3 linked regions of the Notamacropus eugenii genome follow. The protein of the gene in region 1 interacts with the protein of each later gene in a pairwise test. Links are inferred from orthologs where the notes say so. Each region holds a gene or a part of one and is shown in the gene's direction. Other genes may lie near its edges. The genes, in order: KLHL42, SERTAD1 and STXBP4.

The links.
Region 2: the proteins of KLHL42 (region 1) and SERTAD1 interact in binary tests that used the Homo sapiens proteins (3 or more experiments, as listed by UniProt). The two-hybrid records come from large-scale screens. The link is inferred for Notamacropus eugenii from reciprocal best matches to the Homo sapiens genes KLHL42 and SERTAD1.
Region 3: the proteins of KLHL42 (region 1) and STXBP4 interact in a two-hybrid assay, tested with the Homo sapiens proteins (2 studies listed by BioGRID and IntAct). The two-hybrid records come from large-scale screens. The link is inferred for Notamacropus eugenii from reciprocal best matches to the Homo sapiens genes KLHL42 and STXBP4.

What each region holds. Positions count from the first base shown.
Region 1 is NC_092874.1:218,566,249-218,576,680, reverse strand, and holds the start of KLHL42 (kelch-like protein 42), read left to right. Parts: upstream 1-5,625; 5' UTR 5,626-5,754; coding exon 5,755-6,620; intron 6,621-10,432. UniProt on the Homo sapiens protein: Substrate-specific adapter of a BCR (BTB-CUL3-RBX1) E3 ubiquitin-protein ligase complex required for mitotic progression and cytokinesis. The BCR(KLHL42) E3 ubiquitin ligase complex mediates the ubiquitination and subsequent degradation of KATNA1.
Region 2 is NC_092876.1:31,105,112-31,114,783, forward strand, and holds SERTAD1 (SERTA domain-containing protein 1), read left to right. Parts: upstream 1-5,711; 5' UTR 5,712-5,921; intron 5,922-5,954; exon of another isoform or gene 5,955-6,106; intron 6,107-6,934; 5' UTR 6,935-6,938; coding exon 6,939-7,604; 3' UTR 7,605-7,764; downstream 7,765-9,672. UniProt on the Homo sapiens protein: Acts at E2F-responsive promoters as coregulator to integrate signals provided by PHD- and/or bromodomain-containing transcription factors. Stimulates E2F1/TFDP1 transcriptional activity.
Region 3 is NC_092873.1:366,586,073-366,596,489, forward strand, and holds the start of STXBP4 (syntaxin-binding protein 4), read left to right. Parts: upstream 1-5,523; 5' UTR 5,524-5,703; intron 5,704-10,417. Other genes in the region: COX11 (cytochrome c oxidase assembly protein COX11, mitochondrial), read right to left, coding at 2,027-2,182, 5,220-5,468. UniProt on the Homo sapiens protein: Plays a role in the translocation of transport vesicles from the cytoplasm to the plasma membrane. Inhibits the translocation of SLC2A4 from intracellular vesicles to the plasma membrane by STX4A binding and preventing the interaction between STX4A and VAMP2.

The sequences.
Region 1 (10,432 bases):
CGCTATCTCTTCTCCAGTTTAGCTGCTTTCTTGGACATTGCATGAATGTAGACTGCTAAAGCCTGAAAGGAGTTTCGAGATACATCATTACATGAAAAAAGAAATATACTGCCCCCCTCCCCCCACAACACTAGCACGCATTTAGTAGTAAATATACATGCTCTATTGTTGGGGGTGTAAGCTCAGTTCCATGTGGACAGTCTTGGGCGGGTAAAGGTGAGGACTTCTAAACCTTAGAGTTCTCATGAGGCCCCCCAGGGAACAGCAGGAAATTGAGGTGTGAGACCGTGCATTTCCGCCTCTTCCCGTGGGAAAAATGCTGGGAGAGAGCATCCCCGCCCTCGCCCTCGAGATTGGCCCCAGTCTGAGCACACCTATTGTTGTCTAACAGGCACGGTATTCAGGTGCAAACTATGCGGCAGGAGAGCTTAAGTAGGGTCAGGAAAGCCTGAAGGCGCTCTTAGTGCTGAGGGGCCATTAGAGGACAGAAGGCCCCTCTTCCCTCTCTCCTCTCTTCTCTCTTCCCTCTCCCCTCTCTCCCTCTCTTCCATTCTCCCATTCTCCCATTCTCCCACTTCCAATCTCTTACTGTAAGATCTTTGCCTCCTTGGGAGATTTCTCTCTCTCCTAAGGAAGAGTTCCCCCTGCACATGTAACCAAGACCCTGAATAAAGCCTAACCCTTGTTCGACTCTGGAAAGTCTCTTCTCTCATACGTTTATCCAGTTTGGCCAGCCGAAGACCTGCGATAGGTAAGGTAAGACTCGGGTAGCCCTCAGGCCTCTAGGCTTGGCACTCTATGGGACTACAGACTCTGATACAACCTGTCTTGACGTTTTGTGAGATGAGCTAAACATTTTTGAGGAACAAGGAACCACAAATTCAGTTTTGTTGCTTTCAAAATGATATTGGGGAATTTCTCAACCCCGAGTTCTCTTGAAGAGTATAATTTCTCCCAATTTGGTCCATTTGACTGGAGGTCAGTAAATCAAGAGGCAAGGCTAGAAGATAAAAAATTTAATTAGCATCAGCTGATGGTCAGTTGTCATATGAATAGCAACCTGGCTATTTATTAAGGGTTTTTAAAGTCATAGGGTTATAGTACAGGTAGGTAAAAAGAGACTGAGGCTGCTCAGTCACGTTGCTTTTCGGGGAGATTGAATGGGATTTGGGGGATCTGACAGGATAGCCAATGATTTGGAGAATGTGTTAACCTGGTGTTAGATGTGTTAACCACAGGGTCTTAGAAGTTGCCAAAGATCAGGTTTTCTAGTTAATCTTATCAGATATCTTGGCAAGAAATCTAGAAAAGAGTGGAAGCCTCCTTCAAGATAGAAATCAGTCAGGCTCATCCTGTCTTTGCCAGCCTGTCTTTCTATATATATAATTCCATAACTCTGTTTCTTTGGCCTCAAAGGTTAGTTTTTTGGGAGAGATGTTTTCTCTAAGTTCACAGTTGGCTTCTTCCTCAATGTTATATCATCCCAAACTTTCTTCATGGATGTGATGACTGATTAAGTGGTCTCATATATTGGAAGGCTTCAGTCATCTGGGCTTGGAGTCAGAAAGCAAAAATTTAATCCTGACTCTACCATTTACTGCTACCTATATGATCTTGGGTTTAACCTTACCTCTCTGAAGCTACTTCTTCATCTGTAAAATGAGAAATTTGGATTAAAATTGTCAATGTGATGCAGTGGGAAGATTGGTGGATTCAGATACAGAAAACTTGAATTTAGATTACACTGTTAATTACCACCTGTATGAACTTGGGCAAACCACTTGACTTCTGTTTCCTCATTTATAAAATAAAGGGGTTGGATTAGATGACTCCCATGACTTTTTCCAACTCTAATTTATGATCCCACGGCTAGGTGATTTCTAAAGTTCAGGTCTAACATTTTTACCTATGATTTTTTGATGAAGGCATACAGAGCAAGAAAAGAATTTCCAGACCTTACTTGTGAAAAGGGTGTTCATGCACATATGTACTGGTTCAAGGCAATAAAATAACGATAATATATGGCTTAGTTTCTCTTACTGATCTAGAGTATAATGCTTGTTTTGCATGCTCTTTCTCCTGTGGAGACCCAGTCTTTCCCCAGACCACCTCAGCTCACAAAGCTAAGGAATAGTATCTCTTGTCTCTTTAAAGGGGAAAAATTTCTTCCTCAAGATACTTGCGTTAAATCATACCAATAGGGATTTAATGGTTCAAACTAAAATTTTTTAAAGATGTTAAACAACTGGAATATTATTGGAATTGGAAGGGTTGTACCACTGACAAAATGTGAGCACAGGCTCCTTTTGGCCAGCAGCCACAGGAAAAGGTTTCTCTGCTTTAAGAAAGATCCTATTTTAAGAACACCCTGAAGGACCAAGATGTGCTAGTTGATACAGTACATTTATTTTATCCGTAAGGCAAGAGAAATAGAGATGGGATAAAAATGTTTGTTTCAAAGTAAAATTATAACATATTTGCATCAATTAGTGTACCAGGTGTTTTTAGTGTTAATTCTACTTCCCCATCAAGAAGAGATCATTCAGTAGCCTATTTAAGCTTTTATCAAGCAAAGACATAAGGACTGTGTAGAGTGTCACCTAAGTACTCCTCTGAGTTGGGGGTTGGGAGAGGGTTGCCACTCCTAATCTTCCAGTCAGATGATTAGCCAACTAGATGTCTAGTGGATAGAGTCAGAGACATGGAGTGAGGAACAGCCAAATTCAAATCTTGTCTCTGACACTCTCTAGCTATGTGATCCTAGGCAAGTCACTTAACCTCTGTCTGCCTCAGTTTTCTCATCTGTAAACTGGGGTTAATAATAGCACTTACCTCATAGGGCTGTTGTGAGGATCTAATGAAATAATACATGTAGAGCACTGTGCCATGCAAACCCTAAGGCATTACACAAATGCTAGCTACTATTAATAATAATTACTATCATCTACAAAAGAAGTTCACAAGTCTTGATGCATAGGAGACACAAAGTCAGGGGAAGAGTACCCCATGCTAGGGCATGCTAACACTTTACCTCAGCTCCACATTTCTTGTTAGCCACTGTTAGGGCTCAGCAAGAGGGATTCTCTCTGTCATGACTCTTTCTCAGAGTTCACAGTGTAAGTTGGGGAACCAAAATATGTTGTGGCCTAGGGGTGCTAGGAACCCTGAAATACAAGGGTTTAGGGCAGGGGTCTGCCTTGAAAGAATGTGACCACTCAAACCTTCTTTCAGTCCAAGTAGTGAGTTTATTAAGACACCAGTTGGGTGGGCAAGATTCCTTGTGAGTCTGCCCTTAATAGGATTGAGAATGAAATTCTTATATAAACAAAGGGAAAATGGGTTAGTGAAAAGATCTTGATGGGATTAAGGAGTGGCAAGTAGCCTGGAGTGGTCCAGAGGTAACAGAGAATGAAGGGCTGGGCTGGGTTAGGAGCCACAATGAAAACGGTTGAAAAGATTATACTGGGATGGGCCTGGATGCCTCGAATCTGGACTGTTGAAATTTGTGGTAAAGTTCAAAGACCCTTTTTAGAGGTTCAGGTCCCATACCCCATCATTAGTATATGATTGTGATGGACTACTACTGATGAGGTACAGCCTCTGGGAACCTCCTTGAATTCTCCTTGAATCTTCCCACTTAATCTGGTTTTTCATACCCAAATCCATTACCCTTAATCTAGCCTGGCCATCCATTGTCTGTTACCTCCCAATTGCCTCCGGCTGTCTCCTGCCCTTGATTACATCACTTGTTGCCCCACTTCCATCAAGATCCTCTTTAGACTCTCCTCCTATCCAGATCCCTCCCACAGTCTTTCTGTATATAAGTTCCATCTGGCCTCCATGAAGGCGCTCTCATTCTGTCTAGCTGAGATTCTGTCTGGTCCACATGTCAATACAAGCATCACAAATAGTTTGGCTTAAGAGTCAACCCAATATGGCCAATCTTTAATAAACTTTGTTTTACTTTGACTGAAAGAAGGCTTGAGTTGAATTCATTTGGCAGGACCCAGTGTGTTGGTATTTTGGGGTCCCAAGCACGCCAAACCTCAACATTATGATTCTCTGACCTGGTCATCGCTACTGTGCCATAAGAAATGATGAGTGTGATGATCTTAGAAAAGCAGGGACAGACTTGCAGGAAATAATGAAGAGGAAAACGAGCAGAACAATGAGAATGCTGAACACTAACAAAAACATTGCTTTAAGAACTATTTTGAGCAAATAAGTCATTTTGACTATTAATACCCAAATTAACTACAAGGGACATAGGAAGATGCTATCTGCAGCTGGAGAAAGAACTGATAGATGTGTAGAATGATTTTACACACACACATTGTACATATATACACATTTGTGTCTAATGGCTGCCATCTTTGGGGGGAGAGGGAAGAAAAATGAAAAAAGAAATTTACATAACTTTATTATATATTAAAAAGGAATACCAAGTTGTATATAATAGATTCACAATTTCATGTGCAATTATTTTTTTAAAAATTAATACCATGTTATGGGAAAAATGCTTATTGATTGGGGGAAAAAAAAGAGAATTTACAGGGCTAAGATGAAACTTGCCTATTTCCATGACTTTGGGCAAACGTCTGTGCGGATGCCACAGGCACCCCTGGTGTCCTCTGTCCTGTGACAGTCTTCGCTATGTGGTCTACCAGAAGGCTGCGCCACATAGAAAGGGCTCACCAGACTTGTGCCAGGTTAACTTAGGGTGACTGTGGGCAGTTCTGGGTGATGTTTGGGGGAGGACGTTGACAGGCCGGGGGGATAACCAGGAGCTGAAGGGTGACTTAAAGGAACAAGAGAAGCCAGGGGAGCTCGGGGGATTCTGGCACGTGAAGAGGGGCCAGACTTCATCCGCCGGGTCCGAGGCCAGCGAGGACAGGGCTGGAAGCTGCAGGGAGAGATTTCAGCCCCATCTAAGGAAAACTATTTTTAGTGTTGGCGCCGTCCTAAAATGGAAGCGGGCTCTTCTTCACCAGAGCCTCCGCAAAGGCTGGAGGGGCTTGCGGGGCCTTCCTGGAGGTCTTAGAGGATGCGGAGGGGATTCCCGCACAGCCACAGACTGGCCTGTCCAGGACCCTCGGAGAAACTGTGCTCAAGGACCCAAGTCCTGGGGCTAAGGTCCCGGTTCGGTCCTGCTTTGTGTCTGCCCCCTTGCTACTGCACAGACCCGCGTTCTCTCCGCACGCCCGCAGAGATGCTAGGGGCTCCAGGGGGCACAGTACTGGGCACGCACGCCTGCCAAGGCGGCCCGGAGACCGGAGGCAGACGCCGCAGAGCCCTGCGGGGCGGTGCCAGCTATGAATGGTGCTTTCTCGGGGCACCGGCTCACGGGGCGTCCGGAGGCAGCTCCGGGCAGCGGAGGCTCGCCTCCCACAGGGGCAGGTCCGGCGTTTCGGGGCTTGGGCTTGGGGGAGGAGGCAGACGAAGGATGTTCGGGGCCCGGGGCCCGGGGCCGGGGGGAGAGCAGAGCCTGGCCTTCTAGGGAGCCAGGAGATGAAACGAGCGGGGGCGGGAGCGGCGGGAGGAGGCCGAGCGGGGGAAGGAGGGGCGGGAGGAGGGGGCGGAGCCAGGCGGGGAGGGGCCCCTCCTCCCCCTCCTCCCCCCACCTCCCCCTCCCCGCCCCTTCCGGGCGGAGCCTGGGCGCTCCCGTGCCCTCCCCCTCGCCGAACCCAGAACCGGGCGGGTGGGGGGCGCTGTCGGGGCCCCTGCCTCCCCCGGCCCGCGGCGGGCGCCTCGGCCATGTCTGCGGAGGAGGTGGTGCAGATCCTGCTGGAGGGCCGCTGCTACCCCGTCAGCAAGAGGAAGCTCATCGAGCAGAGCGACTACTTTCGCGCCCTGTACCGCTCGGGCATGCGGGAAGCCGGGGGGCCGGAGTCGGGGGGCCCCGAGGTGCAGCAGCTGCGGGGGCTCAGCGCCCCGGGCCTGCAGCTGGTGCTGGACTTCATCAACACCGGAGGGACGGGGTCCGGCTGGTCTCTGGGCCCGCAGGGAGACAAGGGGAGTGGAGAGGAGGAGGAGGTGGAGGAAGGCAGCTGGCTGGAGGAGCTGGTGGAAGTGGCCTCCTTCCTGCAGGTCACCTCCTTGCTGCAGCTGCTGCTGTCCCAGGTGCGCCTGGACAACTGCCTCGAGCTGCACCGCCTGGCGCAGGTGTACGGGCTGCAGGACCTCCAGGAGGCCTGCCTCAGCTTCATGGCCGCCCACTACCACCAGGTGCTTCGCAGCCCCCAGTTCCACCTCTTGGTCACCTCCCCTCAGGCTCCGGGCGAGGCCGATCTCAAGCAGAAGCTGAGGGAGGGCAGGATGAAGGGAAAAGCCGTGCTCATCGCCCTGGGAGACTTCCTGGGGGGCCCTCTGGCCCCGCATCCCCACCAGGGAGAGCCCAGGTCCATGCTTAGGTACGACGAGGCCGCCCTGCGCTGGCTGCCTCTGGCCAACCAGCTGCCCCCCGACCTGGTGAACGTCCGGGGCTACGGCTCTGCCGTCCTCGACAACTACCTTTTCCTAGTGGGAGGCTATAGGATCACCAGCCAGGAGATCTCTGCTGCCCACTGCTACAACCCCTGCAAAAATGAGTGGAGTCAGGTGGCCTCGATGAACCAGAAGAGGTAAGCACCAGGTGCAGGGCTCCCACAAGACCCTTCCCAGCTCCCAGGTGATGCTCTGGAGGTGACTTGGGTCCTGGGCCCTGGCAGCAACACGCTTGTCTGTTGTGACTGCACACTGCCTGTGGGCCTCCAAGATCAGGAGTGTTCCCTTACCTTGAGGAGGAACAAGCCAAGGGCTGCAGGACAGAGGAGCTGAGCCAGCTAGGCAGTAGGACCTTTAATGTTAACGGGTCTTTCCATACAAGGTGGCACCTCGCCACTTTCTAAGAAGGACGGTTCATGAGAAAAGTTTAGATTTTCCTTTGATTCAGGCCACTAAAGCCACCCATGATCACTCTAATCCGTTATATTTATCTGAAATTCCCAAAGGGATTACTTCCATCAATTCAGGATCCTCCTAAAGCCTGAACGTTCAGTTCATGGGCTCATAGATTTATATGTTAGATAGGTAAATAAATAAAACGTGCACAATCCCTTCCCTCAAGGAATTTACAATCTAATACAAAAAGGCAAAACATAAAAGAGGAGCTGCCAAGGGATGGAGGCAAGGAGCACTGGGGAGGGAAAGGAAGGCAAGGCGGTGGAGCAAGAAGCAAAGTGAGTCATGGGGCTGGAGTTTCCCATGATACATGGTGCCTCTTGGCTGGGACTCACCAGTTAGTGAGTAGGCCTTAGGGTAGTCATTCTCCAGGGAGGTAGAAAGGACTAGAATGATTTAGTTCATTTTACAGGTGAGGCAACTAGATCCTAGAGAAGTTTAGTGACTTGCCTGCCTGCAAGTCAGTCATACAGGTTTGGTAGTAAGTGGCAGTGGGGGTTCAAATTCAGATCATCTAACTCTCCTACATACCTCACTGTTGTTCTGTCCTGTCTGACTCTTTGTGACTCTATTTGGAGTTTTCTTAGATACTGGAGTGGCTTGCCATTTCCTTCTCCAGCTCATTTTACAGATGAGGACACTGAGGCAGTTTTAAGTGACTTGCTCAGGGTCATACTTCTGAGTTTGGATTTGACCTCAGGAAAGTGTGTTCCTGACTTCCAGGCCCAGTAGTGTATTCATTGGGCAACCTAGGTGTCCCAAATATCCCACCATGCTTACTAGGAAATACGTTAGAATTTTATTAGTTACCCATATTGATGTCTTCTGTTTTTGACACCATTGTAGCTACCCCAGCATCTCTCCCCTTTCTTCTCCCAGAGACCCATTCTATATAACAAATAATATTTTTAAGAGCCCTCCCCCCCCCCAAAAAAAGGGAAACAAAGACTGGGAGACAAGGGAAATAAAGAATAAGAAAAAAATTAGAATTGATTAACATATTGACAAAGTCCCAAAACATGGACAGTGTGTACCTGTGGACCTCCCACCTCCACAAAGAGGTAGGTTGGGGATAGTGTCTCATATCTCTTGATTCATATCATGCTTGATGATTATAATTCAGTTACATTCATGTTGAATTTTTTTGTGTATAGTTCTCGTCATTTATATTATTCACTGTGTATATTGTTTTCTTGGCTCTACTTCACCATATATGCATTACTTCTTGTCGATCTTAATATACTTCATTGTATTCATCACATGTAACATTTCTTGAAGCACAGTAATACTTCATTACCTTTACATACCACAGTTTAGTTAGCCTTTCTCCAATCAGTGAGAATCTACTATGTTTACAATTCTTTGCTATCACAAAAAATGCTTTTATAAACATTTTGGTTTATGTGGAGATCATCTTTTTATTAATGGCTTCCTTGGGTAATAAACACAAAAAAGGAGTCTCTGATTCATAGGATATAGACATTTTAGTCACTTTATTTTCATAACTCTAAATTACTTTCCGAAATGGTTGTACCATTTCACAGCTCAACTAACAATGTATTAGTATATACATAACCCCTTCAACATTGACTATTGCCATTTTTTAAAATTTTTGCCAATTTACAACTTATGGTTGTTTTGATTTGCATTTCTATTAATAATTTGGAGTATTCTTTCGTGTGATTGTGAACACTTCACAATTTTTTTTTTTGGAGGACTGTTTGTTCATAGTCTTTGGCGACTTATTTATTGGAGAATGGCTATTAGACTCATGTTTGTTGTTTGAGTGTCTTGGATACCAAACTCTTATTGGAGAAATTTGATACAAAGATTTTTTTTTTCCCCATTTGATCTCTTCCTTTCTTATTCTAGGTGCATTAATTTTGTTTGTGCAGAAGCTTTTTGGTCTCACAGGATCAAAGTTATCTATTTTCTCTGTTGTAATTGCTTCAGTCTCTTGTTTGATTCAAAATACATCTACTGTCTATCGTTGTGAGAGGTAGAGGTCTGCTTCTCTTCTAGTTTTTTTTTTATGGGATGATTTTTCATAATGTCATGTATCCATTTAGAATGTATTGTAGAATATGTTGTGAAAGTGTTGATCTAAGACTAATTTTTGCCAGATTGCTTTCCAGTTTTCCCAGAAATTTTTATCAAATAAGGAATTATTTCCTTTAGTAATTATGTTTTTCACTTTATCAGACACTGGGTTACAGAGTTCTTTTCATCTTTCTCTCAGTTTTTGAACTAATACCAAATGGTGTTGATGAGTATTACCTTATGATAATAGTCTGAGGCCTAGGAGTGCTAGTTCCCCTTTATCACTACTTTTTTTCATCATTCCCTTGACATTCTAGATCTTTTGTTTTACTAAATGAATTTGGTTATTATTTCATCAAATTCTATAAACCATTCCCTTGATTATTTTATTGATATAGCATTAAATGTATAAATTAACTTTGGAAGTTTTGCCATTTTTATTATATTGGCACAACTTAGCCATGAGTACTGAATATTCTTCCAGCTCTCTAGATTATTATTTTTTCTTTAAGTAACACTTTGTAATTGAATCTATACAAATCTTTTATGTACTTTGGTAGATCAATTCCCCTAATATTTTATGTATTTTGTAGTTATTTAGAGTGAGATTTCCCTTTATATTATTGTTTCTTGTGTTTTGTTATTATTATATAGAAATAGTACTGATTTTTGAGGGTTTATTTTGTAGCCTGCAACTTTGACAGCGTTATTAATTGTCTCAGTATTTTTGATGATTCTTTTGTATTTTCCAACTATACCATCATTTCAACAAACAGATAGTTTTACCTTCTCTTTATTTTTTTAATTTCTTTCTCTAATCTTTTTCTCTTGCTGTTGCTAGCATTTTCAGAACTATATCAAATAATAGTAGGGAAAGTGGGCATCCTTACTTTACTCCCATATTTAAATGGGAAAGGATCTAGTCACAGGGCTGGGGAATCTGCAGCCTCGAGGCCACATGTGATCTGCTAGGTGCTTGAATGTGGCTTTTTGACTGAGTTCAAGTTTTATTTTTTTTTTTAAATTTATTTATTTGACTTTTAACATTCATTTTCACAAAATTTTGGGTTCCAAATTTTCTCCCCATTTCTCCCCTCCCCCCACCCCAAAACACCGAGCATTCTGATTGCCCCTATCACCAATCTGCCCTCTCTTCTATCATCCCTCCTTTCCCTAGTCCCCATCTTCTCTTTTGTCCTGTAGGGCCAGATAACTTTCTATACCCCATTACCTGTATTTCTTATTTCCTAGCAGCAAGAACAGTACTCGACAGTTGTTCCTAAAACTTTGAGTTCCAACTGCTCTTCATCCCTCCCTCCCCAGCCATTCCCTTTGGGGAGGCAAGCAATTCAATATAGGCCATATCTGTGTAATTTTGCAGATGACTTCCATGATAGTCATGTTGTGTAAGACTAACTATATTTCTGTCCATCCTATCCTGCCCCCCATTGCT
Region 2 (9,672 bases), on another chromosome or scaffold:
AAGGAGCCGGGATTGGTGAGCTGGAGTGGGGGTGGTCGGAGGAGGAGGAGGAGGAGGAGGCAGGGAGAGCCCTTGGACTAGAACTGTCAGGAGGAGGCAGGAAAATTTGGAGGACTGGAGGGGTTGGGAAGTGGACGAGATCTAGGAAAATCAGACCAGGTCTTGGAGCCCTGGGAGATCAGAATCAGAAGGGGGTGGTGATAGTGAGGTAAAGTCAAACTCTTGGAGGTGGGTGCCCATGGGGAAACTGTAACAGCCCTTTTTAAAAGGCAGCGTGCTGTAGTGAGATTGGGATTGAGGAGACCCGGGTTCGAATTCCAGTCTTTTCTCCAGTGCAACTTGCTGTGTGCCCAGGAACATGCATTTTAACCTTTGAGTCTCAGTTCTCTTGCCTGTGAAATGGGGATAATGGTTCTTATATTGCGAAATTTAGGCATTATTCAAACGTATGAGTTATTATGGATCAGACTAGAGCTGCGAGGAGGCAGGGAGACCTCCGGGAATGGAGTTGGGGTCGAGGAGAAAACTGGAGATCTGGGAGAATCAGATCAGGTCTTACAGCCCTGGGAAGTCAGAATCAGAAGAGGCCTTATCTGAGAGAGAGGAGGAAGAAGTGAAGGGGCCCCTTTCTCCCACCCCTTCGCTTAAGGACCCAGGTGCTTGTGTCTCTGCTTAAACTCCCCGGTTCTCACCCAAAAGAACCTCGGAATTTCTCTAGCAGTAATCTGGGATGGGGGTGGATGACTGGGGAATTTCGGGGAGCGGGGAGGAGCTCCTGCTACATTTTTGTGTGTGATGGGTTTTTTTCCTTCTTCAAAGCAGTTTAGAGAGCAGCCAGAGGCTCCAGACAGCTGCAGATGGAATGGTCTTCTGGGAGTTGTAGTCCACCACCTGAATGGTTTCATTTTCTCTCTCCAGAAACAGAACCCGCACTTCATTCCCCTATAGCCTCCGGGAAAGGAAAGGGGCTACGCCTCTCTGGGCGTGGCTTGGAGAGGATGAGGCGCTCTTATTGGAGAATAGGCCCAAATGGGCGTTGTCTGAACATTTCTAAGGCGGGAGGGGCGGAGCAAGGTAGTATACTCCAATGGGTACTTAGCCCCAAGGGTGGGGCACGTATGAGTCCTTTGCGCATCTTTGTTTAACTATTTGAGGTTTGTCCAGTGAGAATTTAGAGAACTGGTTTCTAGTCTTGAATTGACAGTGAATGATTTCGGGCAAGGTCCTTCCCTCTCTTGGTGCCTCAGTTTTCCCCTCTGTAAAATGAGGGGACCTTACTGCAGTGATCCCCGGGCGATCAAAGTCCTGGAATATCAGAATCATAGGACCTAGAAGGGATCTTAAAAACCATCTTGCAAATAAGAAAACTGAGCCCCAGAAAGGTCTACTTACTACTCACAAGCGGTGACAGAGTATTTTAACAGAGGTCCAAATCAAGGGGGAAGAGGGGAAGACGGAGGGGGTAGGGGAGGACTCTGATTACTGAGATATTAAAAGGATAAGGGCTTTCGATCTTATTGGTAAAAGGAACTCCTAGAAGACCCAGTGGATGTCATTCTGGACTGAGTGTCAGAGACGGGAGTTCAAATCCTTCTATAAACAAGCGTCCATGGGCAAGTCATTGAACCACTCAGCCTAAATCTCCTTATTTGTAAAATGGAAAATTGAATAACTTCGATATCTTTGTTCCTTTCCAGGTCTCAATTCATGATTCCAAATGAGGCTAATCCCTCTACCTATGCAGGTCAGCACCTTCTCAGTAATTAATAGTCTTGAGTTGCCAAGAGCATTAAAAATTAAGTTACTTACCCAGGGTCCCACCATAGGTATTGTCTGAGGTAGGATTTGAACCCAGAACTTTCTGGTTCTGAAGCCAGCTCTCTCTACCCATTGCTTCAGCCTGTTTCTCACACTATAATAATATAAAACCAAAATCCTGGGCATTTCCCAAATTTATCTTTGAGGATAAAACAATAGGGCAAGTTTTCCTTGCCAAGTCCAATCCATCTACCAGTTTTCAGAAGAGGGTCCTTACAGAGTCTCCAATCCTACCCCACTATTTTATTACAGGGGGACTTAGAGTTGGTAAGAGTCTTAACGGAGACCCCATATCGAGTCAGTGGCAGAGACTTGTCTAGGACTCGGGGCTCTCTGGGGACCCTTTTCAGCAGGGACCCTGTGGGGTGCAAGCAGGGTCTCCTAACTCCTGCCCCTTCTCCCATAAAGGGACAATGGTGGTTGGTGTGAATGGAAAGCACCTGGATGATCACCAAGATCCTGAAGAGGTGGAGGTCGGGAAGGAGTCCCAGGAGCAGGCCCCTTATTCCATGTCCAACAGGTCTGGCATAGGCCAGACCCTAATTTGCCCTTCAATGGACAAATTCCAGCTAGCCTTCCCCCAAACCTCCTGAGGCAAGTGCTCATCACAGACACCCTGAACCACATCAGGGAAGAGATGAACCTGGAGAGGAGCGCAGCCTTGCCCCAGGAACCTAGGTTGGAGCTGCTTTTACCCTCAACTGCCCAGTCTGCCAACAAGTTCCTCAGAGAGCTGGAGGTGATAAGCTGGAGGCTTAAGAATCACACAAGACCACTGTGAGCCCCCAGATCTGAGTTGTAGCCCTACCTCTGCCCCTGATCTGTTGAGTGACTGCAAGCCAACACCTTCCCCTCTTCGGGCCTCAATTTCCCCATCTGTCAGAGTTGAGGAACCTGCCCTAGGCAGCTTTGAGATCATGGGCAACAGGTACTTTGGAAACCTGGTTCCTGATGACCTCTTCCCTGACATTGACACATCAGATGTGGAAAGGGATTCTTGGCCCTCACTTTTTGCCCTTGCCTCCTCCTCTGGGACAGAATGGGACTGGACTGAACTGGATCAAATTTTGGAAATCATCAAGGGATCATAAGACTGTGGGGGTGTGGGGCAAGACCCCAAGTCCCCTAGGACCCTGAACCCTTCATTTAGATACTTGCTTACCTCTGAAGAGTTTCAAGAAAGTGGTCTCCAAAGATTTCCTATCTCAGGAAGCTGTAGTGAAGCTTCCTTGTGACTTGGGAAAGTCTCCTGGCCTAGTCTCAGGGCCTGCTGATGGCAAAAAAAACAGATTGTATCTCTCTTTTTTGATGGCTTGATGGAACACTGCTCCCCCTGTCTTCATCCTCCCACAGCCAAAGCTGCTGCCAGGGAATCCCTCCTCCTCTCCCCCTATCACCCTGACTGGCCCATGGTGTGCAAGGACCAAGCACTCTGGGGCTGCTATTCTTACTCCAGTTAGTCTCCTAGGAGCTTGGTCCCCGGGTACTCCCTAATTTTTCCCTTAATTTGGCTTCATATCCCATGAAGAAGCTGGCTTCAGGGTTGAGTAACTGCCTGGGGAAAAAAAGGGGGCAGGGCAGGGCTGAAAGCCAGGAGCCTGGGCCTCTGGGGAGACAAAGTCCAGATTGCCAGGAGGAGGGGCTCTAGACCAACCCCCCCTTCCCTTCCACCCAACTCCCAAGGTTGACAGGTATGGAAACAGTAAGAAATCACATCTTCTTCCTCCCCCCTCCCCCCCTCCTGGCCAGGAGTACCCCCCTCCTTTGCCCCCCTCCTTTGTGCTTGATCACCCCCTTCCCTACCCAAAGAGGCTTTGATGAAGTGCAACAGGGATAAAGGAATCTTTATTTGTGGTCACACCTTTTTTTTCTGTTTTGAAAAGACCTATTTTACCTGTTTGGGTTTTTTTTTTTTTTGTGAATAAAACTTTCAAATTCTATAATGTCCCTTTAATCCATTCTTCTTCCCATCATGCTTTTTGGCCTGGAGCCTCTGGTGGATAGGAACAGGTAGCCTGCCTTATAGGGGCAGGGGGCAGGTGTTTCCGCTTTCTCCACCAGGCCCTCCTTGCCTTTAAGGGTACTCCTGGGTGAGGTGGTCAGTTTAGACTTAGTCGTGGAAGTTAGACATCATCTCATCCAATCTCCACATTTTAGGGGGAAATTTAGGGTTGGAAGAGGAAGAAACTTACCTCAAATCCTCTGCTCTCAAAGAGTGCACCCCTGGGGAACCCCTGGGGCCCTTTCTGGAAGTCTGCAATGTTAAAACTTTTAATAATAATACGAAGACGTTTTAATTTCTAACATGGTAAATAGAGATTGATATTCGACAAACAAAAGCTCTTGGTCGGGAAGTACCTCCTCAATAATTTCTAAGAATGGAAAAGAGTCCTGGAACCCAAAAGTTTTTCATATCGGGGTGTAGTAATACAGGAGGAAATCCTTTTCTTCTGCTGGGGGAGGGGGGCTTTGTGGAAGAGTGGTGACAGGCTCTGACTCAGTGTCTCCTTTCTTCTTACTACCCCACTTTGTTTAGGAGGAGGGGTGTAAAAGGGCTGGCAGAGCTCCTCAACCCCAGGAGCTGGCCCTCAAAGCAGGGTCTGGTGAGGAGAGTTTACTCAGCTGTGGGGAGATCATGGCTCCCCTCCAGTCTAGGATGGACCAGCTGGATAGTTCTGCAGAATTCTCTCCCTCCTCCAGACTACAAGTTGGGGAAAAGAGAAGGGGTATGTTTGTGGTGCAGGATACAGTCTGGACACTGCTGGAAGGACTCCTGAGAAAGCTGTCTAGCTGGGCCCCTTCCACCTGCCCCACCCACCCCGGGGGCCCTGCTAGCTCTTCCCTTCCTGGCCCCAAGACTCTGGTTTCTCCCTCTAATAAAGCCCCCGGGGTGCTCTAGCTTCGGAGCCACAGGTCGCGCGCGCTCGTTTTCTTGTAACTTTCGTTTCCGTGCCTTGGGCAGGCCCTCCTCTCCTTCCCCCCACTCCGCCCCACTGTTCCCCTCCGTCGGGGCCTCTCTCATCTGTTCCCCAGCTGCCAAGAAGTTAGGGACGGACAGGGCTCGACTCAGCTGCTTGGAATCGCCCAATGGCAGAGCCCCAGCGACCTCAAGAGCTCAAGCCTCTCCTCATTCGAAGCAGGGACTTGGGTCCAAAAGAGGGAAGGGTCCTAGGAGTCTGGGCCTGCAAAAGCCTTGGAAACTATCTGGTGCAGCCCTGATTTTGCAGCGGAGACCCAGAAAAGGAAAGTGATCTGCCAAGGTCACACAGGTCTACCCTGCCTGGAGCAGAGCCTAAATTCAAGCTCGGGGCCTCGGAGCCCCCAGGCATTTTCCATTCCATCCCGCACAGATCCACCGAGTCCTAGAGACCTAGACTATGCTCCCAGGGTTTCCCTCCCCACCCCCCCAGAACTCGCTCTAGCAGGCTTTTTAAGGAGGCTGGGTCGGGAAGGTGATGGCAAGGGGGAAGGGGGAGAGGGCTCTACGATTTCCCTCAGGGCCTTTCGGTCCAGCTTCGGTGCCAGAGTCTCTGTGGCAAAAATGAGGAGGAAAGGATGGTCCAAGGGGGTGGGCTAGCTAAACAGGTGCTTGTGGGGGTCTTGTCAACCCAAGCAAGAAGGGGAGGACCCAGCCCCTTTTAGGGGGAAGTGGGGGAGAATCCGTTTCTTCAGCTCCTTCATCCAACCCTTCCCAAAAGCCCAAGAACGGACCCCCGCCCTCGCCCTCCCTAGCCCGGAAAGCGACAGCTGAGACCAAAGACACACGGACTGGCCAACCAGAGAGTGCCCCCGTCCCGGGCCTCAGGGCCTGGGGAATCCAGCTCGGGGAACCTGGGCCCCTGGATGGCCTCGCCTCCCTCTTAGCCCCGCCCATCACGGAAGCGAACCAATCCCGAATTCCTGGGGCGGAGCCTCTCAGGGGCGGGGCAGAAACAGAGGAAAGTAGCAACCCCACGACCGCGCGCCCGGGCCAGTGCAGCTTCTAGCGACCCAGGGGCCGGCCGCGGGAGGAGTGAGCGAGCGAGCGATGCGGTCGCCTCTGCCGCTTCCTGATTGGCTGCTGGTGGCGTCGCGGACCCTCTGATTGGCAGCCGACGAGTTGGGTATGTAAATGAGGCGAAGGGGAAGGGGGGAAGGGGGTAGGCTTTGGGGGCCGGAGAGGGGATCGCCATCCCGGGCGAGTCCGATCCCCTGGCGGCGTCCGATGCTCCCGGCGCGGCTCCCCGGGCGCCAGGCCGGGCCCGACCCGGGGCGCTGTCGCTGCCGCTGGCGCCTGCTCCGGCCCGGGGTGAATCACGCCCCAGCCCCGGGGAAGGGGAAGGGGGCGGGGAGCGGGGGCGCCGGCTCCCTGGCTCCGGCTGCGTGACTCACCCGCCCCCGCGGCCGCCGCAGCCGTGCCGGGCCGGGCCGGAAGCGGGAGCGGAGGCCGGGCCGGGCGGGGAGCCGAGCCGGAGCCGGAACCAAGCGGGGCCGGGCCGGGCCAGGCGGGGAGCCGAGCGAGGCTGGGCCGGGGGCGCCCGCCTTCTGAGGCTGCCCCCTCCCCCACTCCCAGCTGACCCGACCGGCCCCAGGGGCGTCCGGCCTCTGCCCTTGACTCTTGCTTGGCCCAGAGCGAGCCCCGTCCTCCGAGCCCCCACTGCCCGCGCCCCGCTCTGTGGAAGGAGAGGAGGGGTCCCCGGCTCCTGGCAGGCCAATCTGAGTTGTACAAAAGAGAAAACTGAGGCCCAGCGGTGTTGTGACTTGGGATCCTAGTCTGAGCTGGAAGGGGCTCCAGGGGCCATTATACCGGAGTGAGGGTCGACCTTTTTAGTATTGGAACCCCTGGAGCAGTCTGGTGAAGCCCATGGACTGCTTTCCAGAATAATGTTTTAAAGTGTATGAAATAAAACACAGAATTCAGAATTCATTAGTATTGGAATACAGTTATTAAAATATTTTTAAAATGTTCACAGACCCCAGGTTAAGACTCCCTGCACTAGAAGGTCTCTCGCTAATTTTCTGGGATTCATTGTCCCAAGGCATCAGGAGAGGGGTTTTCAGAGTCCTTTGATGGAGAGAACCAAAAGAATGCTCACAAAAGACCATTTTCTGACCCCATACCCCCATTTCTCCACAGACCCATGTTGTGCAAAGGAGTGAAACGTAAGCGAGAGGAGGAAGAGGAGGAAAACCTGACCTCACAGGACTGGTGGCTAGAGGAGGCCACTCCCAGCCCAAGCCCTGAGGAGGGGGCTGGCCCAGCACCCCTGCCCCCCAGCTCACTCTTCAGCCTGTCTATATTCAAACTCCACCATGGCCTTCGGAGGGGCGAGCCAGATCTCCGCCACCTTGTCCTGGTGGTCAACACCTTGAGGAGAATTCAGTCCTCTATGGCCCTGGAGCCCTCTGCCCCAGAACCCCCTTCTCCAGCTCCTGTTGACCCCTTCCCAGTGGTCCCTGATGCCCCTCTGTGCACGTCTGTCTCAGCCCTTCTGGATGACCTGAGTCACATTGAGGGCCTCAGTGACACCCAGACAGCCTTCCCTGAAGATGCCCCCCTTAGCCGGCCCCCGGACCTGGGCCTGGATCCTGGGCGGCCAGCCCCTGTGGGGTCCCTGGAGCTCCTCCTGGAGGATGGACTGGAGGGTCTTTTTGATGACATTGACACCTCCATGTATGACTGTGAACTGTGGCCCAATCTTAAAACAGACTCTGGGGAAACAGAGGACAAGATACAGGGGCCAGGGCTGGACGTGTCTGAACTAGATTACCTCATGGATGTGCTTGTGGGTACACAGACTTTGTAGGGAAATGGTTCCCTGCCTGCCCCCAAGAGACCTGAAATGGACTAGAGCTGCTGGGAGCTCCCCTCCTGTTACAGACTGTAGGGGTGAGGGGGGGTCATGGAATTGTGGGGAGGAAAGCGTGGACGGTTTTTAAGATGAAAACAATTAATATATGAAACAATTTGTTCCTTGTCTCTCTCTCTCTCTCCCTCTCTCCCTCCCCCCATCTGTGCATATTTAAAGTGAATTATTGACCCTTGCTACTGCTACTTGTCAGGTAATCTCAGGGAAAGGTTATTTGCCTCTGGGCCTCAGTTTCCTCAACTGGGAAATGAAGAGGTTGGATCCTGTGATCTGTAGGTCTCAACTCTGTCTCCAACTCTCTGTGTGGGCTTGAGGAAGTCTCTCACTTTCTCTGGTCCTCAGCTTCCCTTCTGTATGATGGTTGGAATAGATGTGTTTCCCTAAGACCTCATCCAGTTTTAACTTTCTGTTCTAAGGTCACACTGAATAATATACAATCTCAGAACTAAGAGGGACCTCAGTGCGGTAGAATATGGATGGATGGGGGGATGGATGAAGCATTTAAAAGCTTCCTGTGTACCAAATTCTATATGATAAGCTCTGGAAACACAAATGTAAGTATGGTGGCCCCCATCTTCAACTAGCTTACATTTTAATCATGGAAAATAACAAATATTTGAAGTTGGAAAGGGAGGCTCAAGACATTAGAAGAGAAGGGGGTAGAGTCTGGAGAGAGTGGAAGGATTCATGGCTGGAGTCCTTCCCAAAATGGTGGTTCTGCAGAGAGGAGTGGAAGACCCTAGCATGTGAAGGCAGGAACTGGTTCAGGTGGCTTAATAAATGTTTGTTGCTCAATAGCCCACCCCTGTATCCAAGCAAAAATGTCCTTTACTGTAGCTTTTCCCAAACTATGGCCTCAGGCCCCTTTTACACTCTTAAAAATTGAAGACCATGCACCCCTTTTGTTTGCCTCTCTAGATCCTCAGTTTCCCCAACTGGGAAATGAAAGAGTTGGTTTCTGAAGTTTCTTAAGGGCTATGGATTGTAGCTATTGATAATCTACTGTATTGGAAATTAAAGATCTTAATATTATGATTAAAGTAGTTTGGATCTCAAAGACTCCCTAAAACAGTCCCCAGTTCTAGGACACTTGGAAAGTGTCCTCAACTCTAATAAGTGGTCATCCTCCAGGTGGAGATGTCCAGTGATGGGGAACTCCCTGCTTCCCAAGACAGCCCATTCCACTTTGGGGAACAGTTTTCTATCGTATTAAGCCTGCTTCAGTAAGGACCTGGGCAGTCTCTGCTATGTCCTAAGGTCCCTTCCCGCTCTCATACATTCTGAGCACTTGCCATCAGGCTGTGTGTGACATTCTGTGCGCCTACAAGATGGTGCATCTGTCTGTCCCCTGCCTGTGGGAGCTATGACTGGGCCACATTCCTCAGGCCACTTAGTCCTTTGGAATGAGTAGGGTTGGGCGGGGTCCCTGCACACTCAGCGGCCTGGCACGGGGCGCTCGCGTCCTTCCTGGGACTGGGGAGATGGGGGGGGGCGGTTGGGAGGACGTGGGTTGAGGGCAGAAGGAGGGAGGAGCTGGGGCTGGCCAAAGCCGGAGCCCTGGGGAGAAAAGATGCTTAAAAAGAAATCCTGCACCATAACCTCCACGCTGGGGTAGAAGGAAGGAAAATAGCCCAACTCCAGGAATTAAGGAGGCTTCCACCCTTCTGGCGCCCTCCCTCACCTGTGCTCTTGGTCTCCAGTGAGATGAAGAGGGGATGAGCACCAGGGAGAAACCTCCGTTTTTTAGGCATGGGGCTGGGGAGCTAGAGTGGAGAAGATACTTGAGTCTCTATGAAAAACTGAGGGGGTTAGGGGAAATGGTCCAGTAACAAAACAGAAACAACTCTAGCTGAGAGTCTGTGGATCTGGGCTAGCCATGGGACTGTGGATGGGTTTGGGTCTCCTTGGCCTCAATGTCCTCATCTGTAAAATACCAGGGCTTTACTCGATGGGTTTTTCAGTTCCTTCAAGATCTAAGTGCTATTATCCTCAGGCTGCCTGTGAG
Region 3 (10,417 bases), on another chromosome or scaffold:
GCTGAGTTGCAAAACAAAAAACACACTATGTAAGGTCAGGTTTTGTTCCCAACCAGGAGAACTTGGGGCAATACTCTTTGAGTTGGGTAAGAATTCAAAAAGTAAAGGGGAGAAAGGGCAAAGGTATTTAGGGTGACCAGGCACAGAAGACCAGGTAGGTCTACTTGAATGAGATTGCCAAAGGAGAGAGTGTAGAGAGATGAAAGTCAAAGACAGGTCCATAGGAAACACCAGCAATGAGAAATCTGGAAGGAGAAAGGGACTAGTGAAGGAGTGGTTAGATAGGCAAGAAGAGTCTCAAATCAAGGAAAGAGAAAAAATATCCAGTAAACAGGAATAATCAATTGTGTTAGAAGCAGCAGAGAGGTCAAGGAGGAAGAGGACTGAAAAACAAAAGGCCATTATAGCTTCAAGGATTCTGAGGACATTGGTGAAGGACAGAAGCTAGATTTCAAAGTGCTGAGAAGACTGGACAATGACAAAATGAAGGAATCTCCAGATAAAGATGAGTCAGTGCCTAGATGAGCTAGAAGGATTAGAAAAAAAAAAAGACTGAGGATATTAGGTATCTGGAAAACTGAAAGAAGGAATGATGAAAGATGCCCTGAGAAAGAGGAGCCAACTTCAGAATCAGGAAAAGGACAGATCAGGGACCTATGTATAAGGCTTAGTGAAGAAGAGTGATACCTGTATTTTTCTAGCCTAAAAAAAAAAATATTACAGTAGAAATTGAGAAATGGAGGAGGAGGGGAACTGAAGAAGCTAAGGCAGGATGCCCTCAATCTCCTTAGAGAAGGTTAAATTCTGTTCAACATAAGTAGGGTATGGGAGAGAAAAGAAAAGGTCTGAAGCACACAAAGGAAAGAATGAATGGAGAGTGTGAACAGAGTGACAGACTTTTTAGTCATGACACCAAGTTCACCGCCTTCCTTAAATCTTTTCTCCATACTAAATAATCCTAGTATGGCATGCTCTCTGGTCCACTCCCAAACCCAGTCACATGGCTCAGATATCAGGATGTTGGGGACAGAACTTTAAGAAGGGGTAGGGAAATGGACAAGGAGTCAGTGAATCAAATGAGTGGGGGAAGGAGTAAGAGGAGTACCAATTGACTGCACTGATTCTGAAGCCAAGGGTAATGAAAGTATCCCAAAGGAGGAGGTGGTCAATAGTGTCTAAAGCTGCAAAAAAAGGTCACTGGGAGGGAATTTTAAAAGGGTTGTTGGTGACCTTTTTGAGAGCAGTTTCATAAAGTGGTAAGGGAGAGGTATTGAGGAGAAAGTAGATGATGAGGAAGTAGAGGCATCATAAACTGTAAAAACTTTCAAGAAGTTTGGCAGTAATGAGAGAGAGAGAGAGAGAGAGAGAGAGGAGTAACTGGCTGGAATAGAAGTGTCAAAGAAAGGTTGTTTAAGGTCCTAGGATTGTAGACCATGTTTGCAGAGCAGGGAGGGAGAAACAAGAGGAATGAAAGACAGGTAATGGTTTTTGGAGGGAAGGTCAAGTGAGGAGGATTGAAAATAAAGGGGAAAAAATGTTCTGGCTCTCAAGTTAAAGAGATTACATAGTTTAGCAAGTATTTTAATCAGGGTTTTATAGCAGTGATGCTAACGCTCACCATGATCATTTCATGAGAATCCAGGAGTTCCTGAAACCTTGTGACACTCAGTTCTTGGAAGCAAGGGTGGAAAAAATGTATGGGAGTGGGAGAGGAGAGAAAGAGGAAGAGACTAGGCAGAGGGAAGGAGAGAAACACATTAACATGATTAATATTAGTCATAATTTATAAATTTTTAGATGTGATTTTCTAAAGATCTGAAATTACTTAAGAGTAACAAGAATTCATTTTTGAATTAAAGTTATTATCTAGTCCCATCCTACCTCTAAAGCTGACCCCTCCTGATGGCCTATGGAGGGTCATACCTCTCTGGGCTTTAGTTTACTCATTTGCAATATGAGGGGTTTGAATAAGATAAAGGTTCTTTCTACCATTCAGCATGGACTACTAAATGTGGCAATCACTTACATATATTTCGGTTTGTTGAGGCCTAAAATTCCAGTGAAGACTTGCATGCACATCTGCATTGAAGGTGACTTTAATGATTCGATCCTTAACAGGTACCATAGTCTCAATCTGGTCTGAAGCATGACCAGCTACAGGTGACCCACCAAGTCCTGTGGTCTGGGAAAAAATTATTACAAAGTATATTAAAAACAAGATTTATAGATTTTTAATGAAGGTGCATCATAATCATGAAACGTTCCTTTAAAACACTACCACAGGATTAAAGGACACCTGATCTACAGTGGGCAGCTAGGATAGTGTGCCAGGCCTGGGGTCAAGAAGATTCATTTTCCTGAGTTCAAGTCTGGCCTCAGACACTTACCAGATGTGTGACCCTGGGAAAGGCACTTAACCCTGTTTGCCTCAGTTTCCTCATCTGAAATGAGTTAGAGAAGGAAATGTCAAACCACTCCAGTATCTTTGCCAAGAAAACCCCAACTGAGGTTACAAAAAGTCAGACACAGCTGAAACAACTGAACAAAGACAAAGATCTACAACTAGAAGGCACCTTAGAGGCTAAAGATTTTTTGGGGGGGAGTTGGGGTTAAGTGACTTGCCCAGGGTCACAAAGTTAAGTATCTGGGTTGGATTTGAACCCAGGTTCTCCTGACTCCACCTAGCTGCTTCCCCCACTACTCCCCCAAAAAAGATTTCAACCAAGTCCTGAAGTCCCAAAAATATGCTTTCCCAATGGAGCAGAGAACTACTATTTTAAATATGTCTTCAAATAACTGTGACAGTGCTCCTAATTGCTTCAAAATATATAAACATGCTATGCTACCATTTAAATTTTGTTATTATTAGTGCACCTTTTAAGATAAGTATGGAATACCTACATTTGTACAATCATTTTACTTTTAAATGTTGAACATCTTAACTAATTTCCAAATCAGTTCACTAAACAAAGCAGAAGCTAGCACTAAATAACAAAAGGCATCTGAGGCTTTATTCTAGTGGCCACATCCCTAAGAACCTGATAGTCCAGTCATTTAGTCAGTTCTAGATCAATCTAATTATATTCAATTGAAAGCATTTATTATGTTCCAGACATTGTGCTAGGCATGTATAAAGAAAATATCAAAGCAAGAGTACTTGTTTCAAAGGGCATACATTTTAAAGAGGAAACAACAGGCATATACATACACATATGTATATACATGTGTATATACATATCTACAAAACACACAAAGCAGATATAAGATAAGCAGGGATTGGGGGATAGACGTACTACCAGGAAGGGCCTTATATTAAAAGTGGCACCTGAGTTGAATCTTGAAGGAAATTCCCAGGAATTTCCAAAGTTGGAGATGACAGAGAGTTCATTCTAGGAAAAGGCGAGTCAGTGCAAAGACATTGCCTGTCATTTGCAAAGAATAGAAAAACTGTAAAATGCATGGGAGGAGTAATGTGTGATCAGGTTGGAAAGGCAGGATGGAACCATGGTTTAAAGAATTTTAAATCATAAAGAGGAGTTTATATTTAATCTGAGAGAGGGAGACACAGCTTCATCAAGTAGAGTTCAGACCTGAACTTTAGGAAAATTACTTGGCAGCAGTGAGCAAGAAGGTAAAGATAGAAGGCAGCAGGCAGGTCTGTTTAGAGGCTATCTCAATTGTCCAGAGAAGTGAGGAGGGCCTGAGTGGAAAGTGATTGCCAGGGGAGAGATGTAAAGAGATGCTGCAGAGGTAGAACTGACAAGATCTGGCCATTAGCTGGGAATGTCAGGTCTCCAAGTCTAGCTGTGCCTCCTAATTGCCTAACAAGCAGGAGCCTGGTCTTCTCTAAATGTCATTTCCTCCAGGGCTCCATACAATGTTCTGTACCCAAACACCACATACTTTGTAACCTAACCCCTCCCCCCCCTGCCTTTCCAGTTTTCTCACACCTTACTCCTCAACTACTACTTTGTAACCTAACCCCTCCCCCCCCTGCCTTTCCAGTTTTCTCACACCTTACTCCTCAACTACTACTTTGTAACCTAACCCCCTCATGCCTTTCCAGTTTTCTTATACCTTACTCCTCAACTACTACTTTGTAACCTAACCCCTCCCCCCCCTGCCTTTCCAGTTTTCTCACACCTTACTCCTCAACTACTACTTTGTAACCTAACCCCCTCATGCCTTTCCAGTTTTCTTATACTTTACTCCTCAACTACTACTTTGTAACCTAACCCCCTCATGCCTTTGCAGTTTTCTCACACCTTACTCCTCAACTACTACTTTGTAACCTAACCCCCTCCTGGCTTTCCAGTTTTCTCACACCTTACTCCCCCCAAACTACCCTGATCCAGTGAAACTGGCTTCATGGCTGTTTCAAGAACAAGACACTGCATCTTTTGGCTCTGAGCATTTTCTCTGGCTGTACACCCTACGCATGGAATGCTCTCTCTCCTGTCTTTGCTCCAACTAAAGACCTCCCTGACTTCCTGTAAGTCTCAATTAAAATCCCACCGACAGGAAGCCTTCCGTACCCCTCTCAGTTTTAGTGCTTTCTCTCTTTCCATTATTTCCTATTATTTGGTTGCATTTTTATCTCCATGCCAGGTTGTAAGCTCCTGGAGAGCAGGGGCTGTCTTTGGTCTCTTTTTGTATCCCACCACTTGGCACCAAGTTTGGCACACAGTACGTGCTAATTAAGTGTTTCTGGAACTGAACTTAATAAATATTTGATGAATGAATGATTGAATGAATGATAATACGGGCAGTGTCACAAAGGACAAAGTGCGGGAATCTCCAGAGCAGGGAGCTGGTTAACAGCATTAAAAGATGCCCAGAGGTCAAAGAGAATAAACACTGAGAAGTCACTGCATGGAGCAAGCCTGCATTCACACAGCGCCTTTGTAAAAGCTTGCAAAGCACTTCACGTAAATTATCTCACTGGATCCAGATCACCAAAGACAAGGAGGGGTGGGCGCTATTTTTTACGCCCCTTTCACAGATGAGGAGGCTGAGGCCTGGAGAACCCAAAGTCACAAAGGGCTGTAGGGGGCCGGGCTGGGATTCAAACCTCAGTCCTCTACAACAGACCCAGACTCCTTCCCGGTAAGGTCCCGTCCAGTCGGCGCGACCTTGGGCCCGTCCCTCCCTGCTCCGGGCCTCGGTTTCCCGGCGGGTAGGAGGAGCCTCCGGGTCCGGGTTGCCGGCGGCTGCCCTACCTGGCAGTAGAGGCGGTAGAGGGGCACGGCGGCGTACGAGGCCCCGATCATGCCCACGGCGGCCGCGGCCACGTACGTGAGCACGGTGCGGTTCCGCCGCCGCCACTCCTGCTCCTGCTCCCGGGCGAACGGGTTCGTGCTCTTCGGCCTCCACGGCGGCTGCCGCTGTTGAGGGGCCGCGGCCCGGCCGCCCCACCAACCCCAGCAAGCCTGGAGAGGCTTCCAGTGGGGCCGCCCAAACACCGCCATGGCAACCCGGGCGAAGCGCCCGAGCCCCACTTCCGGCCCCGGAGAGCGCGAGATCGGGCCCTCGCGAGCGTGGCTGCTGGGGCCCCGTGACGTCAGAGCGCGCCGTCGGCTGGCGCGGCTTCTCCAGCCCGCTGCGGCGGCAGCGGCAGCGGCAGCGGCGGAGATAGCAACGGCCCCTCTTCCAGCAGCCTCGGCTTCGGGGACGCGCTACGGCGGCCGAGCGGCCGGATTGTGGGTGAGTTCGCGTTTCGCTCCCGGGCTCGAGCCCCTCCCTATCCGGCCCCCAAACTCCTAAGCTTCTGGTTCCGCGCGTGGAATCTTCCTCGGTGCCAACCCACTCCCGCTCGAGTCTGGGGCGAGAGTTCCGCTCAACCGGAGACCCCGCCGGCGGCCTGAGCCCCTCCACCCACCCCCAGTTACCTCTCCCGATACTGATAATGAAAGGAGGCAGGCTGAGAGGGAGAGCCCGAGTGTGACTCGCGCCTCTGCCCTTCTTGCTGTGTGACCTGGGCAGCGTCGCTCAGCCTCTCTGGTCCTCGGAGCCCAGCTGCACCAGGAACGACCTGGGCTAGACCAGAGGTTCCTTACATTTTGGGGAGGATTGTCACAGACCCCCTGTAGCATCCCATCGAGCGCGCTTTATTAAGTCCCTACCAGGTGCCGAGCACAGTGCTAAAAGGCTGGAGACAAAGAGAAAAACAAACCCCAGCCCCCGTTCTCCAAGAGCTCGTAGTCAAGTGGCAGCCTCGTAGACCCGATGAACTCCCCGACCCCACCTCACTCCCCAAGGTTTTAAAATTCATAAAATACATGGGATTTTAAGTCAAGTCGGCAAGCATTTTTTAAGAGCCTATTGTGTTCGGGGTGCTTTGCTAAAGGCTTAACAAGTATCCCACGGAGGTAGGGGATACCTTTATTCCCCTTTTGCACATAAGGAAGCTGAGGCTGAGAGAGATTGAGAGACATGTCCAGGGTCACAAAGCCAACACTTGTGTGAGGTGAGAATTTGAACTCAAGACTTTTCCAAGTCTCTGCCCTCAAGGAGCAGGGGACAACAGCGCATGAAAAGGAAACCAATTACCTTGAAATACAGTGATATCAAAATACTTAAAATGGATTCTCCCTGTTGATAATCCCTGGACCAGATAATTTTTTAAAAATTAAATTCTGTCAAATTTTTTTTCCCCATCCTACGGGCGTTTGTTTTTGTCCCTTTCTGTCATCTTCCCCACTCCCAAACAAACAAACAACAGCAAACCCCTTGTAACAAGTAAGACATAATCAAGTAAAACACATTTCCACATTGGCCAAAATAGATGTCTCATTCTTTATAATGCAGAATATTTAAAAACCTTTCTGCTTCCGTGGTCTGGATCTAGTGATTTAAGGACCTACATTTTCTTTCTTTTTTTTTTTTTAATTAATACATTTAATTTTAGTTTTCAACATTCATTTCCATAAGCTTTTGACTTCCAAATTTTCTCTACATCTCTCACCTTCCCCACTCCGAGACATTGTGCATTCTGATTACCCTTTCCCCCAATCTGCCCTCCCTTCTATCACACCCCTCCTTTCCCTTATCCACATCTTCTCTTCTTGTAGGGCAAGATAGTTTTCTATACCCCATTACCTATATTTATTTCCCAGTTGCATGCAAAAACAATTCTCAACATTTGTTTCTAAAACTTTGAGTTCCAACTTCTCTCCCTTCGTCCCTCCCCACGCATCCCCACTGAGAAGGCAGACAATTCAATATAGACTATACATGTGTACTTATGCAAAAGACTTCCATAATAGTCATGTTGTGAAAGACTAACTATATTTCCCTCCATCCTATCCTGCCCCCCATTAATTCTGTTCTCTCTTTTGACCTTGTCCCTCTCCAAGTGTTTACTTCTAATTACTCTCTCCTCCCATTTGCCCTCCCTTCTATCATCCCCCACCCCACTTATCCCCTTCTCCCCTACTTCCCTGTAGCGTAAGATAGATTTTCATACCAAATTGAGTATGCATATCATTCCTTCCTTAAGCCAAATGTGATTGAGGGTAAGCTTTTTCCCTCTCACCTCCCTCCTTTGCCCCTCTATTGAAAAAGCTTTTTCGTGCTTATTTTATGAGACATCATTTGTCCCATTCCATTTTTCCCTTTCTCCTCCTAGTATATTCCTCTCTCACTCCTTTATTTTTTTAGATATCATCCCTTCCTATTCAACTTACCCTGTGCTCTCTCTCTATATGCATATAATCCCTCCAACTACCCAAATACTGAGAAAAGTCTCAAGAGTTACAGATACTGTCTTTCCATGTAGGAATGTAAACAGTTCAATTTTAGTAAGTCCCTTATGATTTCTCTTTCCTGTTTACCTTTTCATACTTCTCTTGATTCTTGCATTTGAAAGTCACATTTTATATTCAGCTCTAGTCTTTCCATCAAAAATGCTTGAAAGTCCTCTGTTTCATTGAATGATCGTGTTTTCCCCTAAAGTATTATACTGTTTTGCAGGGTAGGTGATTCTTGGTTTTAATCCTAGTTCCTTTGACATCTGGAATATCATATTCCAAGCCCTTCAGTCCCTTAATGTAGAAGCTGCTTCATCTTGTGTTATTCTGATTGTATTTCCACAATACTAGAATTGTTTCTTTCTGTCTGCTTACAATATTTTTCTTTGACCTGGGAACTCTGTAATCTGGCTACAATATTCTTAGGAGTTTTTCTTTTTGGATCTCTTTCATTAGGTGATCAGTGGATTCTTTCAATATTTATTTTACACTCTGTTTCTAGAGTATCAGGGCAGTTTTCCTTGATAATTTCAAGAAAAATGATGTCTAGGCTCTTTTTTGATCGTGGTTTTCAGGTAGTTTCATAATTTTTAAATTGTCTCTCCTGAATTTATTTCCAGGTCAGTTGTTTTTCCAATGATATGTTTCACATTGTCTTCTTCTTTTTCATTCTTTTGCTTTTGTTTTGTAATTTCTTGATTTCTCATAAAGTCATTAGCTTCTATCTACTCCATTCTAATTTTTAAGGAACTATTTTTTTCAGTGAGCTTTTGAACCTCCTTTTCCATTTGACTAATTCTGCTTTTTAAAGCATCTTCTCATTGGCTTTTTGGAACTCTTTTGCCATTTGAGTTAGTCTATTTTTAAAGGTGTTATTTTCTTCAGCATATTTTGGGGTCTCCTTTAACAAGCTGTTTACTAGTTTTTCATGATTTTCTTGCATCTCATTTCTCTTCTTAATTTTTCTTCCACCTCTCTTACTTGATTTTCAAAATCCTTTTTGAGCTGTTCCATAGCCTGAGACCACTGCATATTTAATTTGGAGGTTTTGGTTGTAGAAGCCTTGACTTTTATGTCTTCCTCTGATGGTATGCTTTGTTCTTCCTCATCCGAAAGAATGGAGGAATATCTTTTTGCCAAGAAAGTAACCTTCTATAGTTTTATTTTTTTCCATTTTTTCGGCATTTTCCCAGCCAATTACTAGACTTTTGAGTCCTTTGTTAAGTGGAGGGTATACTCTAGGGATCTGTAAATTCTCAATTCCTCCAAGGTGATACAGTCAAGGGAGAGGAGTCCTGTGCTGTGGTCTGGGAGCAATCACAAGCTTTTCTGCCCAGAATCTGGGAGTAGGATTCCCTCTCCGGATCCTCCACCAGGTCCACAATGCCAGCACTCCTCCTCACTGTATGACTGCAGCTCATTTCCCCCAAGGTCTCTAGGCAGAGGGCTCCAAAAATGGATGCTGCTGCCTCAGTGGCTGCTGCCACCCTGGAGCCAGGGCTAGGGCCAGACCTTGCTCCCTTCTCACCCAGGTGAAAGAGCTTTCTCACTGACCTTTGAAGCTGTATTTGACATTTGTGGGTTGAGAAATCTGGGAACTACAGCTGCTGCCAGTAATTTTGTGCCCTGAAGATTGCTCTAGTCCTGTCCATGCAGAGCTGTGCAGCACTCAGCTCTGAGCCTAGTACCATAGACCTTTCTTGTCACCCTTCCAGACTGTCTTGGGCTGGAACTCTCTTTCACTGTGTCATTTTGTGGCTTCTGCTGCTCTAGAATTTGTTTAGAGTCATTTTTTACAGGTATTTTATGAGCTATGGGGTTAGAGCTAGAGCAGGTCCGTCTTTCTACTCTGCCATCTTGGCTTCACCCCCCCCCCCCCCTTTCCCCCAAGGACCTACTTTTTCAACAGAAAAGTGTGGTAAAATTTTTGGAACACCCTACACACACACACACACACACACACACACACACGCACGCACGCACGCACGCACATGCACAGGCACATATACATACATTATTCATAGGATCATAGATTTAGATCTGGAAGGGACTTTGGAGTCCATGAAATCCAACCTTATCATTTTACAGATGAAGAAACTGAGTCATAGGTGAAGAAGCTTGACCAGGACCATATACTAATCTAAGGGAGGTTTTGAACTGGTGTCTTTCAGACTCCTACTCTAGCACTCTATCTGTACCACCCTCAATTACATGTCATGAGTTCCTCCTTCAGGGAGCCCATTCTTTTTGTCATTCTTTGTTTCTTTAGCATTTAACAGTCTGTCTGATTTGTAAATATATAATAAGGGCTTAGTAAATGCTTTTTGACTGACTGGTTTGGCCTTCAAGCCAAGAAGACCCTTGTTCAAATTCTTTCTCTTACCAACTCTCTGAAACTTAGAATCTTGAAGAAATACCAGCCTACATTGGTAGAGGATGTTTCGTCTCTGGGACTTTCCTTGATCAAAAAAAATCACAAGTCCAGGCTCTGTCTCCTATTCCTGATTAACAGCAGAATTCAAGCTCTGGTGAGGGAAGAGAAGGTTTCATTTTTGTCTTTGCATCTCCAAGGCCTAGTGCTTATCTTGGCATGTAAATAGATACACAATAAATGCTGGTTAATTGCTTGATATTTACTGTACTGTCCTCCCTTTACACCTTCCACATAA